Ovis aries: one gene and its partners. The protein of the gene in region 1 interacts with the protein of each later gene in a pairwise test. Links are inferred from orthologs where the notes say so. Each region holds a gene or a part of one and is shown on either strand. Other genes may lie near its edges. The genes, in order: PRKCI, PARD6B and PARD6G.

Region 1 (3,644 bases):
AAAGATGAGCATTTTAAAAAAGATCTGCATTTGTCTTTCTGAGTTATCTTTTAAACAGGGGTCCCCAGGCTCCTAATGCCTGATCTAATGCCTGATGATCTGAGGTGGAGCTGATGTAATATTAATAGAAATAAAGTGCACAATAAATGTAATGAGCTTGAATCATCCCAAAACCCTCACACACTGGGTCTGTGAAAAAATCGTATTCCACAAAATCAGTCCCTGGTGCCAAAAAGGTTGGGGACCACTGTTTTAGAATGATTATAACATATTTATTCTTAGTACCTACTCTGGACATTGTGAAAGTATGTTTTCACTGGTAGCTCATTGGTAGTAGCATTATTTAGCTAGTTCATGTAAGTTTACAAATGGCTTTATGGTTAGAGAGGTTGAAAGCCAATCTTAACAAGCAGCAGAAAGCCAGAAATTGTGAAAAAAATTTATCCAGATTACTGATATATTCTTGAGTATTCTTAGTCAATGGAATGACTTGTGTGAGTTCATAAATGCAGAAGGATTTAAAAGGGACTGAAATTAATTTTGTGTTTTTTCTGCAATCTGTAAAATGTGGCATCACCTCATTCACAGGAATGTTGTGTTGTTTCATGTAATACAATGAAAAATAAATTGTATATAGTAATATAATCCTTACTAAGTTACATTTCAAATTTAAATTTTAATATGCTATGTCTCATCAAAATGATATTGTTCCTGGATTTATGGAAGTATTGCTATTTAAAGAGAGTCCACTAAGTTACTGTGTCTTTGGAAATGATTGTAGGAACCACTGATGCCCATGGACCAGTCATCCATGCACTCAGACCATGCACAGACAGGTAAGGATGACAGTGGCGCAAACCGTTGCTCATTAGCAAAGTGTCACCTAAAGACTTCCTTATGTGACTCTTTCCCCTAAATGTAAAGGCATTTAGATTCTTCCCAAATAAAAGCTAAGTAACCATATTTTGGGGATTTAACATCAATCACAGTATTTAACATATATGTTTGGCATTTTAAAAAGACAGCTATGTAAACTATAACAAATGACTGTTTTCTTTAATTCCGATAAAATTCTTTGAGACCTCTTCATATACCAAATCTATTTTTTTTCAATAATGAAGACATATTGATTTTGTGGACTGTTGACTCTATTCAAGTGACATTTTAAAATAAAACTCTATTATGAGATGAAGAAATGATGTAAAAGATACAGAGATGCTGTATAGAAAATTCAAAAAAGATCGTTTGAGTTCAGATGTCTAGTAGATACAAAACCTTTAGTATGTCTCTGAGAAATTTGGAGAGCAATTACATGGGACATAGCAGCCTGATGGGTGAATCAAGAAAAAGGGACTTTTTCTAGAAGGACAGAATGTGGCATCTTCTTCATGGAAGAAGCTAGTTATATGAAATGTAGGCTTTTTGGCCCTAGCTGCTTTAAGGAATAGAAGCCTAGAGTCCAATCTAGTCTAAACTGGAGACCCTCCGTCTCTTATGTCTCAGTCATACTAATATAATTAAATAGGGTTTAGAGGGTTACCTTTTTAAAAGGAATTTGTAAAGAAGAAAAATATATTTTAAAATAGCAAAAGTGTTTGTTAAAATCAGTAGTGGCTATTGATTGGTTCATTCTCTTTACCCTCATTAGAGATTAGAAGTTAACTGATATTTATGTATAATCTGTTATTAATAGGACAGATATTCAGTTTTAAATGATGAACAATTATTGAAAAATTAAAAGTAAGAAAAATTAAATGAAAAAATTTTGATTAACTTAGTTAATGTGTACTGTGTTTTTCTTTTCTTTTTTTTTTTTTTAAATGTTTGGGATTGGGTTTTTAGTAATTCCGTATAATCCTTCAAGTCATGAGAGTTTGGACCAAGTTGGTGAAGAAAAGGAGGTAAGATAATTAGTCTTATGGTATATTATGTCATCAGCTTTTTAATAGCATGTGACACTTTAAAAACGTGACAGATTGACTTGCTTAAATTTTAGGTCATACTAGAAAAATACAGGGATGATTTTTAATGATTCTAGAGTTTTATTCTGATTTTCTTTGTTAATTAAATTACTAAAATCATTTAAATTAAATAGTCTGGTGTGGTGGGATAACTTATTTTCATTTTAAGGTAGCGTAATCTAAAAATTATAATATACTTAAGAATGGTGTTTCAGAATACTTGGTAGTATTGTTTAAAATCTCGATCCTTCCATTTTATGGACTAATGGTTTATTTGAAGTATAAATAATTAAACATCTTACCTGCCCATCTTTTTTCTGACTGTTAAACAGTTTATCAGTTTTTCAAACAGTTTAATTTAAAATTATGAATTAAAGTGATAACCAATTTTTTTAAAAAAGCTTATGGTAAGATTTAGCATGCCTCACACGTTTCACTCCCACTTTGACTTCTGAGAAACAGCCTTTTTTAATCTTTTCTAGTTGTGTCCACATGTGTTTATCCCTTTCTTTTTCAGGTTTTTCAACTTTATATACTTCTGGCCACAAAAGGTTTAAACTAGTATACTGGGTTGTGCTGTGCTAAGTCGCATCAGTTGTGTCCGACTCTTTGCGACCCTACGAACTGTAGCCCACCTGGCTCCTCTGTCCCTGAGAGTCTCCAGGCAAGAATACTGGAGTGGGGTGCCATGCCCTCCAGGGGATCTTCCCCACCTAGGGATCAAACCCATGTCTTATATCTCCTGCATTGGCAGGCGGGTTCCTTCCCTTTCCATTGTTTGATAAGTGTATTATGTTTTACTCTGGGTTACCTTTTTATTACGGAAAATGTCAAGTATCAGTAAAAGTAAGCAGAATACTGTAACAACCCCCTGTGTCCATTACCCAGTTAAAACAATTGTCTGTACATGTTTTGTCTACCAGCTACTCTCACTCCCTGTGGCTTAGATGGTAAAGAATCTGCCTGAAAGGCAGGAGACCCATGTTCAATCCTGGGTCAGGAAGATCCCCTGAAGAAGGGAATGGCAACCCACTCCAGTATTCTTGGGCTTCTCTGGTGGCTCAGACAGTAAAGAATCTGCCTGCAACGTGGGAAACCTGGGTTTGATCCCTGGGTTGGAAAGATCCCCTGGAGAAGGAAACGGCTACCCACTCCAGTATTCTGGCCTGGAGAATTTCATGGACAGAGGCGTCTGGCAGGCTGTAGTCCATGGGGTCAAAAAGAGTCGGACATACTAAGCGACTTTGACTTCCCTCACTCCTGCACTGTTTTGAAGCACATCTGTTGGTTACCTATTTAGTCTCCTATCTCAGTTTCTTGTATCTCTTTTAGTTTGTTTGACATTCTTTTGCTGTTTTATTACTGGTTGTTCTAGGGATTGCATCTTACACCCTTAACTTACTTAAATTCAATACAGATTATTAATAATATGTTTACCATTTTCCAGGATATGCAAGGACCTTAGGGCACTTTAAATTCACTCATGCTCACTTCTTGGCTTTAGTGCCTTTTCTGTCCTATTTTAAAATTCTGCATGTGTGTGTTAGTGTTTTTGAACAGTCAGTCCTTGCTTTAGTTTATCCACATCTTATTCTTTTTGTTCTGTGTCCTTCCTGTGTGTCTGCTTCCGTATGAGATCATCTTCCTGAAAAACTCAGTGTTTCCTTTAGTGAGAACAACTAG
Region 2 (4,265 bases), on another chromosome or scaffold:
TGAAGGCAGGGACGGGGCGAGAAAGGCCCAGGGCGCTCTAGCCGAATGCAGCACCCTAGCCAGCTGTTCTTGGCCATTTCAGGTTAGAACTGCCCTCCGCAGGCCCAGGTCCAGCTCACAGGAGAGTTCTACAGTTCTGTGATGAGCCCCTCTGCAGGTGGGTGGGGGGCTCTGGGGCTCTCCTCCTCACCACCCCAGCACTGCCAGTGCTGCAAAGGATCCCTGAGAGGAAAAACTCGGCTCTGAGCATTTAAAGAGAAGGATTCAGTCTTCTGTTATCAAGAACATAGCTTGGTCATTCCACAGGAGGGACAGACAAAACACAAGCTGGCGGCTGTCACTGGTGGACACAGTGAATAGCCCAGAAATGGCTGGAGGGAGAGGAAGATCCTCAAAGGTTAAACATAAATTTAAAAGACAAGGGGGGCGGGGAATCCCTGGAGGGCCGATCTAGAAGTACGGACCTTCGAGGATCCATCCCCGGCCTTTGCCCATTTCCCAGCCCTCCCAGCGCCTACTCGATCCCACGGGACCTGACTGGACTGCAGAAAGTCTCTACCAACGACATTAAGCCAGTAGAGCCCTGCGATTTTTCTCCAGTTACTGTTACAGAGGCGGGAAAACTGGAATTTTGCAATCCGAGTTGCAGCCAGACGACTAGACGCAAATGGGTGACGGAGGGGCGTTGTAGGAGGCTGCAGCATCCCAAAGTGGAAGGCGGTGCAGAAAGCCTGCAGCCCCGCAGCGCCCAGCAACTAGCCGGGAAGAGTGCCCCACGCCCCGGCGGAGCGCGAGCTCCAGCCGGGTACAGAGCAACCAGGCGCGCGCCCGCGCGTGCGCTAAAGGCCCACCCATCCCAGCGCGTCTCCAGGTGCGCTCGCGCTTCCGGCCGGCCTTCGCTGGGCGGAAACTCCAGGACTCGCGCATGCGCTTTGGAGCTCGCCTGCGGGGTCCGGAGCGCCCCTCCCGGCTTCAGGTGATCCCACCCCTCCCTCGCCGCGCGGGACCAATCGAACGGCGGCAGGCGGGCTTTTCGAGCAGGAGGCCCCGCCCACGCGCGGCGCGAGGCGGGTACCGATTGGTTGGCGCCGCGGGCGCAGGTGCGCGCTTCCCATTGGGTGGGGGCGGAGCGCGGGCTGCCGAGGCTTCGGCGGAGGCTGCAGGTGAGCGCGCGCACGCGCCGCGGCGGCGGCCCGGCCCGAGGGGAGGGAGCGCGCGCGCGCGCGGGGCCGGCAGCCGAGAGCGAGGCTGCGGCGCGTGTCCCCGCCGCTCCGCCCCCTCCGCCGCCTCCGCCGTCGCGGCCGCCGCCGAGGCCGGGAGGGCGGGCTCCGCGTCCCCGCCCGCCGCGCCGCCAGTCCGACCCTCGGTCCTGCAGCGTGAGGAGCCAGCCGAGCGGGGCCTGGCGCGGAGACGCGAGCCGCGGCCGCCCCTCTGCAGGTGCCTGTGAGGAGGAGCCCGGGCCGCCGCCGCCGCCGCCGCCGCGTCCCGAGCCCGCCGGCCGCGCACTCGCCCCGCGCGCCCCCGAGGGGCGGCCCGGCTGGAGGAGGCCGCCGCGGGCCCGGCCTCAGGATGAACCGCGGCCACCGGCACGGGGCGGGCAGCGGCTGCCTGGGCACCATGGAGGTGAAGAGCAAGGTGCGCGGGCCCGGGCAAGCTGGGGGCCCCCGGGGGCGGGGGGCCGCAGTGACCGGGCCTGGGGCCCCCAGGGGCTGGCCGGGTGTATGGGGCCGCCGGGGCCGCGCTGGGGGGACTTGGGGGCTGGAGACGGTGGGGAATGAACTTGCCGAGGATTGGCGGCGGGGGGCCCTTGTGTCCGCTCCCGCCCCCAGGTAAGGCAGGAGCCCCACCGAGCGCTTAATCCCCTTCCGTGAGCAATCATTCCCCTTCAAGGATGGGAGTCAGGCCCAAGGCATACCCGAGGATGGGGGGGCATTTGAGCGAGCGCAACGTGGTACGAAAGGTTTGGAGGAATTCTGCCTTCTGGCATGTGAGTAAAGAGTTTGAAACATCCGTAGTCACCCAAATGTAAAAGTTAGCCTTTGCTTCCTGTAGGGATTTTTCGAACACGAACTTTGGTATGCATTGAATCTTGTAAAGTGAACACTGTCACCTTTCGGGTGAGTGGCACTTAGCAGTTTTGAGTTTGGATGCCCTTCTCATTCCATCCTGCTACTCTTTCAGGTCAAGTGTTTTTTCCCTCTTGACCAACGGTATGCCTATCTGCCGATGACAACGTGTGGGTATCCTCTGAATTCCTAAATTGCAAGGCTCCCTGAGCAGGACAGTGTATCGGGATTAGTGAGGGAATGCTTTCTAAGGGAGGTTTTGAGCTGGAATTTGAAGACGATCGGCAGCCCCAAGAACATTCTCAAGCAAGCATTTCATGAATTGAAGAGCCAGAAGGGACTTAGATAATCTAGTCTGATTCTCGGAGAAGACAGGGGCTCAGAAAGGTTTTGACTTCAACAAGCTCTGCTTTTTATGACAAAACCTTAAAGCCCTTTTTACAAGATAAGTTTTAGGCCTTCTGGAATACTAAAGAGAGCACGCGGAGCTGAGCCCCCTGAACGTTTAAAATAAGAGTTGGAAAGATCAAGACACAGGGAAGAGTAGGAGAAAAGGAAAAGCGTATTAACTTCAAAAATAATGAAACCTTACTGAATATAAGATAACAGGGATGTGGTAGAAGGGAGAACGCAAAATCAAGGAGTGATTTTCAGTGAAGGAGAGTAAGGAAGGCTCTCTGGGGTAGAAGGGTTTTTATTATCTGGAGTTGATAAGTGAAGTCCTGTAAGTTGCCATAACTGAGATCTGCATTCATTTTTAACATTTTAAGACATCATTTTCAACTTAACTGGTATCACAGTAGGTACTAATTTCAAAAACCCTTCTGCTTAATAAGAACAGAAATATAGCAGGTTCAGAAATACACTGTCTCCTGTGTCCTCCATGGAATTGCCATGGCAAATTGAAGTGACATGCTTGAACTAAGAGTTAAGATAACAAAATATATAGCGAGTTTTTCCTCTAGCATATAGTGGTAGTAGTGGTTCTGTGGCCAATGGTTGAACCTTCTCACAGCATTTCTGTTATAAATCTAGTTTGGGTTTGTGGGAGTTGAGGTTAAGGAAAGAAAAACACGATATTGCGTAATCTTAAAATTCAGTTTGTGGTCCTAATCTTGGTAGCAAGTCTTTAACTTTTTATCATAGGAAAAAAATGAGTAGGGATTCTAGGTGCTCTGATTAAATACAGTCAAATGGTAATTTATCTTTCAGATTAGGAAACCTTGAGCGTGTAGGGACTAGAATTTCAGGCTTTCCATGCTTCTCTTCTGTCAACTGGTTTGTGAATCTTTCCCACACTACCCATTATATATTTGGCCTGCTCTTCTGGTAAACCGTAGCTCTTAAACAGAATCAAGGGTCCCACTCATTCTAGCTGCTGATCAGTAGGCACAGGGGAAGTACAGTTTCCAGTGCGTCTCTGACACCTTGTGTTTTAACTGTACATTTATTTTTAAGGGGTTAAAGAAAAGCACTTGACATCTTCACCATTTAAACAATATTTGGACAGATAGGTGGAACAATATGTCCATTTTCACTGCTTTGGTGGTAATATTACAGCTTTTTACAAAGTTGATAAGGAAGAGGTTGTGACCCCAACTCTGTGGTATGCAGATCCACATTTCAGGATTTCTTTTTCTTCTACATAAAAAGCAAGTTGTCAACGTCATGTCTTTGCTCATGGAAGGAGAAAATGCTACAAATAAAGTAATGGATCATGCAAATATAAGTATAGTTAAGTTGTGATACCAGTTACCATGTGACTTTTCTTTACAGTAACTTTCTGGTAACATTTATCTTCCTGTATCTATAGAGTTGAGAGAGCTATTAATAATCAAGGAGATGTCCTTCAGCAGTCTTGGATGTCAAAGACCTGGAATAGTCATTGAGCTGTACATTTCCTGGTTATTATTCATGGGGAACCAATACTAAAATCAAGTTTACATTTCTAAAGTGTTGTACCTAAAAATGCTGGGTGATGGGTGTCCATCCCCATGACCAGGCCAAACTAGACCAGGCTAAAAAAAAGTTTGAATAGTTGTTGATTGAGTCTTAATTTTATCTCTATTTTTGTATTTTTTTTCACGTGGTAAAAAGTTCTCTTAATCCTGTTGTGCTGCAAGAATCATAACAATTTCTCTTTTTTTTCTGCTAACTTTGCAAAAGGGCACATCTACTGTGAAGCCTTACAATTTCCCA
Region 3 (4,148 bases), on another chromosome or scaffold:
AGTTTCTCTGTCTCAAGGCTTTGGGAATTGACCAGCTGTGGCAGAGGGCTAACACCAACAATTCTGAGAGGATCAGAGGCAATTTTCAGACCTGATATCCTGAAATGCCACAGAGTCTTGATCTGCAAGGCTTAGCTCTTACAACTGTGGGTGCCCTGCAGTTTACAGGTGCTTTACCGTTCATTGCCTCATTTGATCCTGTCGGGCTACCAGAATAGGTTCAATGACCATTGTACATATGAAATAACTAAGGCTCAGAAAAGTTAAATGACTTGTCTGAAAGCTCACAAGGTTGGGTGGTAGAACTGGCTGGATTTTGGCACGATTTTTCTTCACATGCAAACCCAGGTGTTATGGTGAACCATTTAGATTGGATAAAAACATCACTGTCATAATGGTTTGCCTCCCATATTTTGACAAGAGCAGCTGGAATAAGGCTCCCTGCAGAGATGGACTCCGTGGGTGGGTGACAGAGTGGTACAGAAGGGGGAGCCAGGTGGCCCCACTGGACAGACAGTAAGACAAACCACCTTATCGAAAAGGGCCTGGGGCGGTGGTGTTGTGTGTATAACCAGCCAGCCCAGCAGGGCCCAGCCTGGTGTGGCCCTCCAGGACTGTTCCCAAATTCAACCAAAACTTTGCCCCTCTGCCACTCACCCCTGGTGGAGCAGTCACTGCATCTGAACTTGAACCCAGGCTCGGGCCATGGGGCAGCCCTCCTTCTTCACTGGGGGTCAAGGAGGAGGGGCAGCCTGAGGTAACCCACTGGGCCACCAGAACACCTATGGCCCCCAGTTCCCTGGGAGAGGCAAAGGCAGACTCTTACTCTTCAGGCCTCAGGGGTCCACCGTGTCCAGAGCGCACGACTGCAGGATAAAGGCTGGTGAGGGCATTTCCTCCAGGGCTAGCCCTCCGGAGTTGCATCTGGTCAGGCAGCTGCCTGCCACCATGGCTGCAGAGCCCAGGGCATTCGGCCAGCGAGATTCGTGAACAGCCTGGGGTGTTCATCACTTAGAACCAAACAGCCACCTTGCAGGGGTGAAAGGCTGCCAGGAGGTCCCCTCGCGATGGAAGTGGTCCTCGTGGAGACTGCCTCAGGAACGCACGCATGACAAACTGACCTGAAAACACCGCAAGGCCCTGGATGTGACACTGTGATACAAGACGGTACCTGTGGGGAAGCCTCTGTGTTCTTTCTCACAACTGCCTGTTAATCTATGATGATCTCAAAATAAATAGTTAAAGTGAAACACCATGGGTGCTCAGTGGCTATTGTCAGGGGACAATGAGTTCTAAGAAGCCACATTCCCACTGAGTTGAAGAAACGTCAGTTATTTGGTGCTCCCACTCAGGCTTGTTGGTTCCTCCCCCCCACACAACTCACAGAGGTCACTTTTGATTTGGGGGTGTGGGGAGTTCTGGGGCTAAAAAGAGATGAGTGCTGGGCCAGGGTCACAGAATTAGCATTGGAGGTAATTAGATATGAGGGTTCATAAATAGACTGCCCAACAAGATGTGACGAAATCCCACAACTCATTCTGTGGGACTCCTGCAGAGAACCCCCATCCTCGGAGGAAGCCTTGCAAATCCTATGTCAAAGGACCCCACCTTGATTGGTACGGGCAGCCCAGACAGGGGCCATCGGGTTAGTCTTCCCAGAGAGCGAACCAGGACACACACGCCGGCGACCAAGTGTGCACAGACTTGGAGGTCAGAGCCCACCCTCGGGTCTGGCCCGTCTACCACCACTGGGGTTCTCCTCCTTGCCTGACCGCGCCGAGCGGGGGGAGCGCAGAGAAGGGGCGAAAGCCGATCCCAGGCAGCGGTACGCCCGAGGCCCCCTCCTCCAGGACCCCGAACAACTGCTGCTCTTCATCTGCGGCAAGGTCCACCCCTGAGACCCTCGCAGACAAAAGCTTCTGCCGCGAAGGTGCCGCCCCCGCAACGGGCAGAAGCGCCAGATCCTATCAGCCAATTATCCAAAGCGCACAGCCACCCGCAAGTTCGGGCACGCTTGGGCCCGGGCGCGGGCAGCGGGAGGGGCCGCTGGTCCGGCGCGCCCGGGGAATCTGGGCCTGGGGCGCGTCGGGAGGCTGAGGGGCTGGTATGCAGGGCCGTGCTGGGGACTGGGGGTCCGGTCCGGGGATCGAGGACCCGCTGCGTGTCTCCCCCTCGCCGGTTCCAAGGTTCCTCCGCTGCGAAGGAGGCGGCGCAGCCAGGGCCCTTCCCCGGCCCGGGCCCCCAAGGCCCCTCCAGGGCCCCGAATCCGATCAGCCCCCGGGTCGCCCCGGAAACATCGCCCCTCCACCGCGCGGTGCGCCGGATCGCCGCCGGCTTGTGGAACAAAAGAGCCACTCTCGCAAAGGGTCGGGCGGCCGCGCGGCCCTCCGAGCGCCGGGGCTCGAGCCGAACCTTACCGGGCTGCCGGGCTTTGTGCGCGCGCAGGGGCGGGAAGGACTGAGGGACCCCGGCGCATCTCACGGACGCGCGCCGCGCTCCGAAGTTGTGGTCGGCGCCGGCCCCTCTCGCGCCGCCCAGTCCCCTTCGGGGTGCCCATTCATTCGTGGGGCGTTGGGGGGGGTGCGCAGACTGCCGGCCCCCGGCTCACCTTGCTCTTGACTTCCACCGCGCTGCAGTCGTAGAAGCGCAGGGTCTGAGACTTGTGGAAACTCCGGTTCATGGTTCCGGCCCCGCTTAGCCTTGGCTTCGCCCTCGCTCTTCGCTATGGGGACTGCAGAAGGACCCTGGGTGCGCCACCCGCCGCCGTGGCCCCGGCCCCGGCCCCGGCCCCGGCCCCGGCCCCGGCCCCTGCCCGCGCTCGCTCGGCCGCGGGGCAGCTCGAGTGCAGCGGCCCGAGCAGGGCTGGCCGCGCGCCTTGGGCACTCAAGGGGCCGCGCGCGGGAGGAGCGGGGTACGGCGGCGCGCGCCGCCCCAAGGACCCGCCCCCCGATACCCTAGAACCCACGTCCCGCCCCGAGCCCGGAGGATCCGCCACCAATCCCTGCCCAGCGCCCAGAATACCCGCCGCCAGTCCCCGCCCCGGGCCCAGAGCACCCGTCCCCCGAGGACCCGCCCGGAGCCCCGAGGACCCGCCCCACGAGCCCCAAGGGCCCACGTCCCGCTCGGCGCCCTGTAGACCCGCCGCTAATCCGGTTCCCTAAGGACTGGCCCGGCGCTGAGAAAACCCGGCTCACATCCCGGGGACTCGCCCCACGAGCCTCAAGGCCCAGCCTCGCGCCCTGAGGCCCCACCCTCCGAGTCTGGAGGACACGCCCCCCGTCCCGAGGACTCACCCGACGCCCCACCCAGGGCTCGTCGGCCCGCCCCCGGCCAGTCCCCGCCCCGAGCCCCGCCCACGGGCCCGCCCCCGAGGACGCCGCTGCCGGGTGGGTGTTCACTCCCGTCCGCAAAATCAAGAGCAGGGGAGAGAAGCCCGGTTGACTCGCCCGGGACGTCCACACTTTTTCTCCCTTGCTCGCTTCCGCCAAGATTTTGTTAGCCTCCTCCCGTCGTCCAGGAAAGGGGTCTGTTTTGGCTGATTTTCAACGTTGTCTTGGGTGATACTGGACTCACGGAAGCCTGACCCCCTTGGGTCCATCTGTCCGTTAGAGCTGCCAGGTGGTAGATGGTTTGGGCAGAGGTTCTGCACGGAGGCAACATCCTAAGGCGTAGTCTAGCACAGGCCAAAGGTAAAGGGTTCGGAAGGGTCAGAAGCACCCATAGGCCTGTCTGATGAGAAGGAAGACTTCTGCCAGGGCTGGCAGAAGCGAGAAACGGAAGAAAGACATCGTCAGGTGTGAGCAATGTCGTGGGTGCTTCCTGTCTAGAGCGCTCTTGGAAGCGGGGCTGCGGAAACCGAAATCCTCGCTCTTGAGGAATCTCTGATGAAGCCAAGAACACAGGACCAGTAGGTGCTTCAAGAGTTCTGTGAAGCGTGCTACACAAATTTACAACCCAATTCAGTAGATTATATATCACTTTTTCTTAGTTGAATTCACAGGAGAAAAAGGAAGAAGAAATACAAACGTGCTAATTATACATACAGAGGGATGTATTAGTTAAACTTATGGTTTTAAATGTAATCAAAAACAGAATTAGAACAAAAATATAGCCTCTCCAAAATTTCAGAACATTCTATGTATATATAG

What was found.
Region 2: the proteins of PRKCI (region 1) and PARD6B interact in binary tests that used the Homo sapiens proteins (3 or more experiments, as listed by UniProt). The link is inferred for Ovis aries from reciprocal best matches to the Homo sapiens genes PRKCI and PARD6B.
Region 3: the proteins of PRKCI (region 1) and PARD6G interact in binary tests that used the Homo sapiens proteins (3 or more experiments, as listed by UniProt). The link is inferred for Ovis aries from reciprocal best matches to the Homo sapiens genes PRKCI and PARD6G.

What each region holds. Positions count from the first base shown.
Region 1 is NC_056054.1:217,797,016-217,800,659, reverse strand, and holds part of PRKCI (protein kinase C iota type), read left to right. Parts: intron 1-781; coding exon 782-836; intron 837-1,842; coding exon 1,843-1,901; intron 1,902-3,644.
Region 2 is NC_056066.1:78,706,218-78,710,482, forward strand, and holds the start of PARD6B (partitioning defective 6 homolog beta), read left to right. Parts: upstream 1-1,353; 5' UTR 1,354-1,569; coding exon 1,570-1,635; intron 1,636-4,265. UniProt on the Homo sapiens protein: Adapter protein involved in asymmetrical cell division and cell polarization processes. Probably involved in formation of epithelial tight junctions.
Region 3 is NC_056076.1:517,932-522,079, reverse strand, and holds the start of PARD6G (partitioning defective 6 homolog gamma), read right to left. Parts: upstream 2,878-4,148; 5' UTR 2,681-2,877; coding exon 2,609-2,680; intron 1-2,608. UniProt on the Homo sapiens protein: Adapter protein involved in asymmetrical cell division and cell polarization processes. May play a role in the formation of epithelial tight junctions. The PARD6-PARD3 complex links GTP-bound Rho small GTPases to atypical protein kinase C proteins.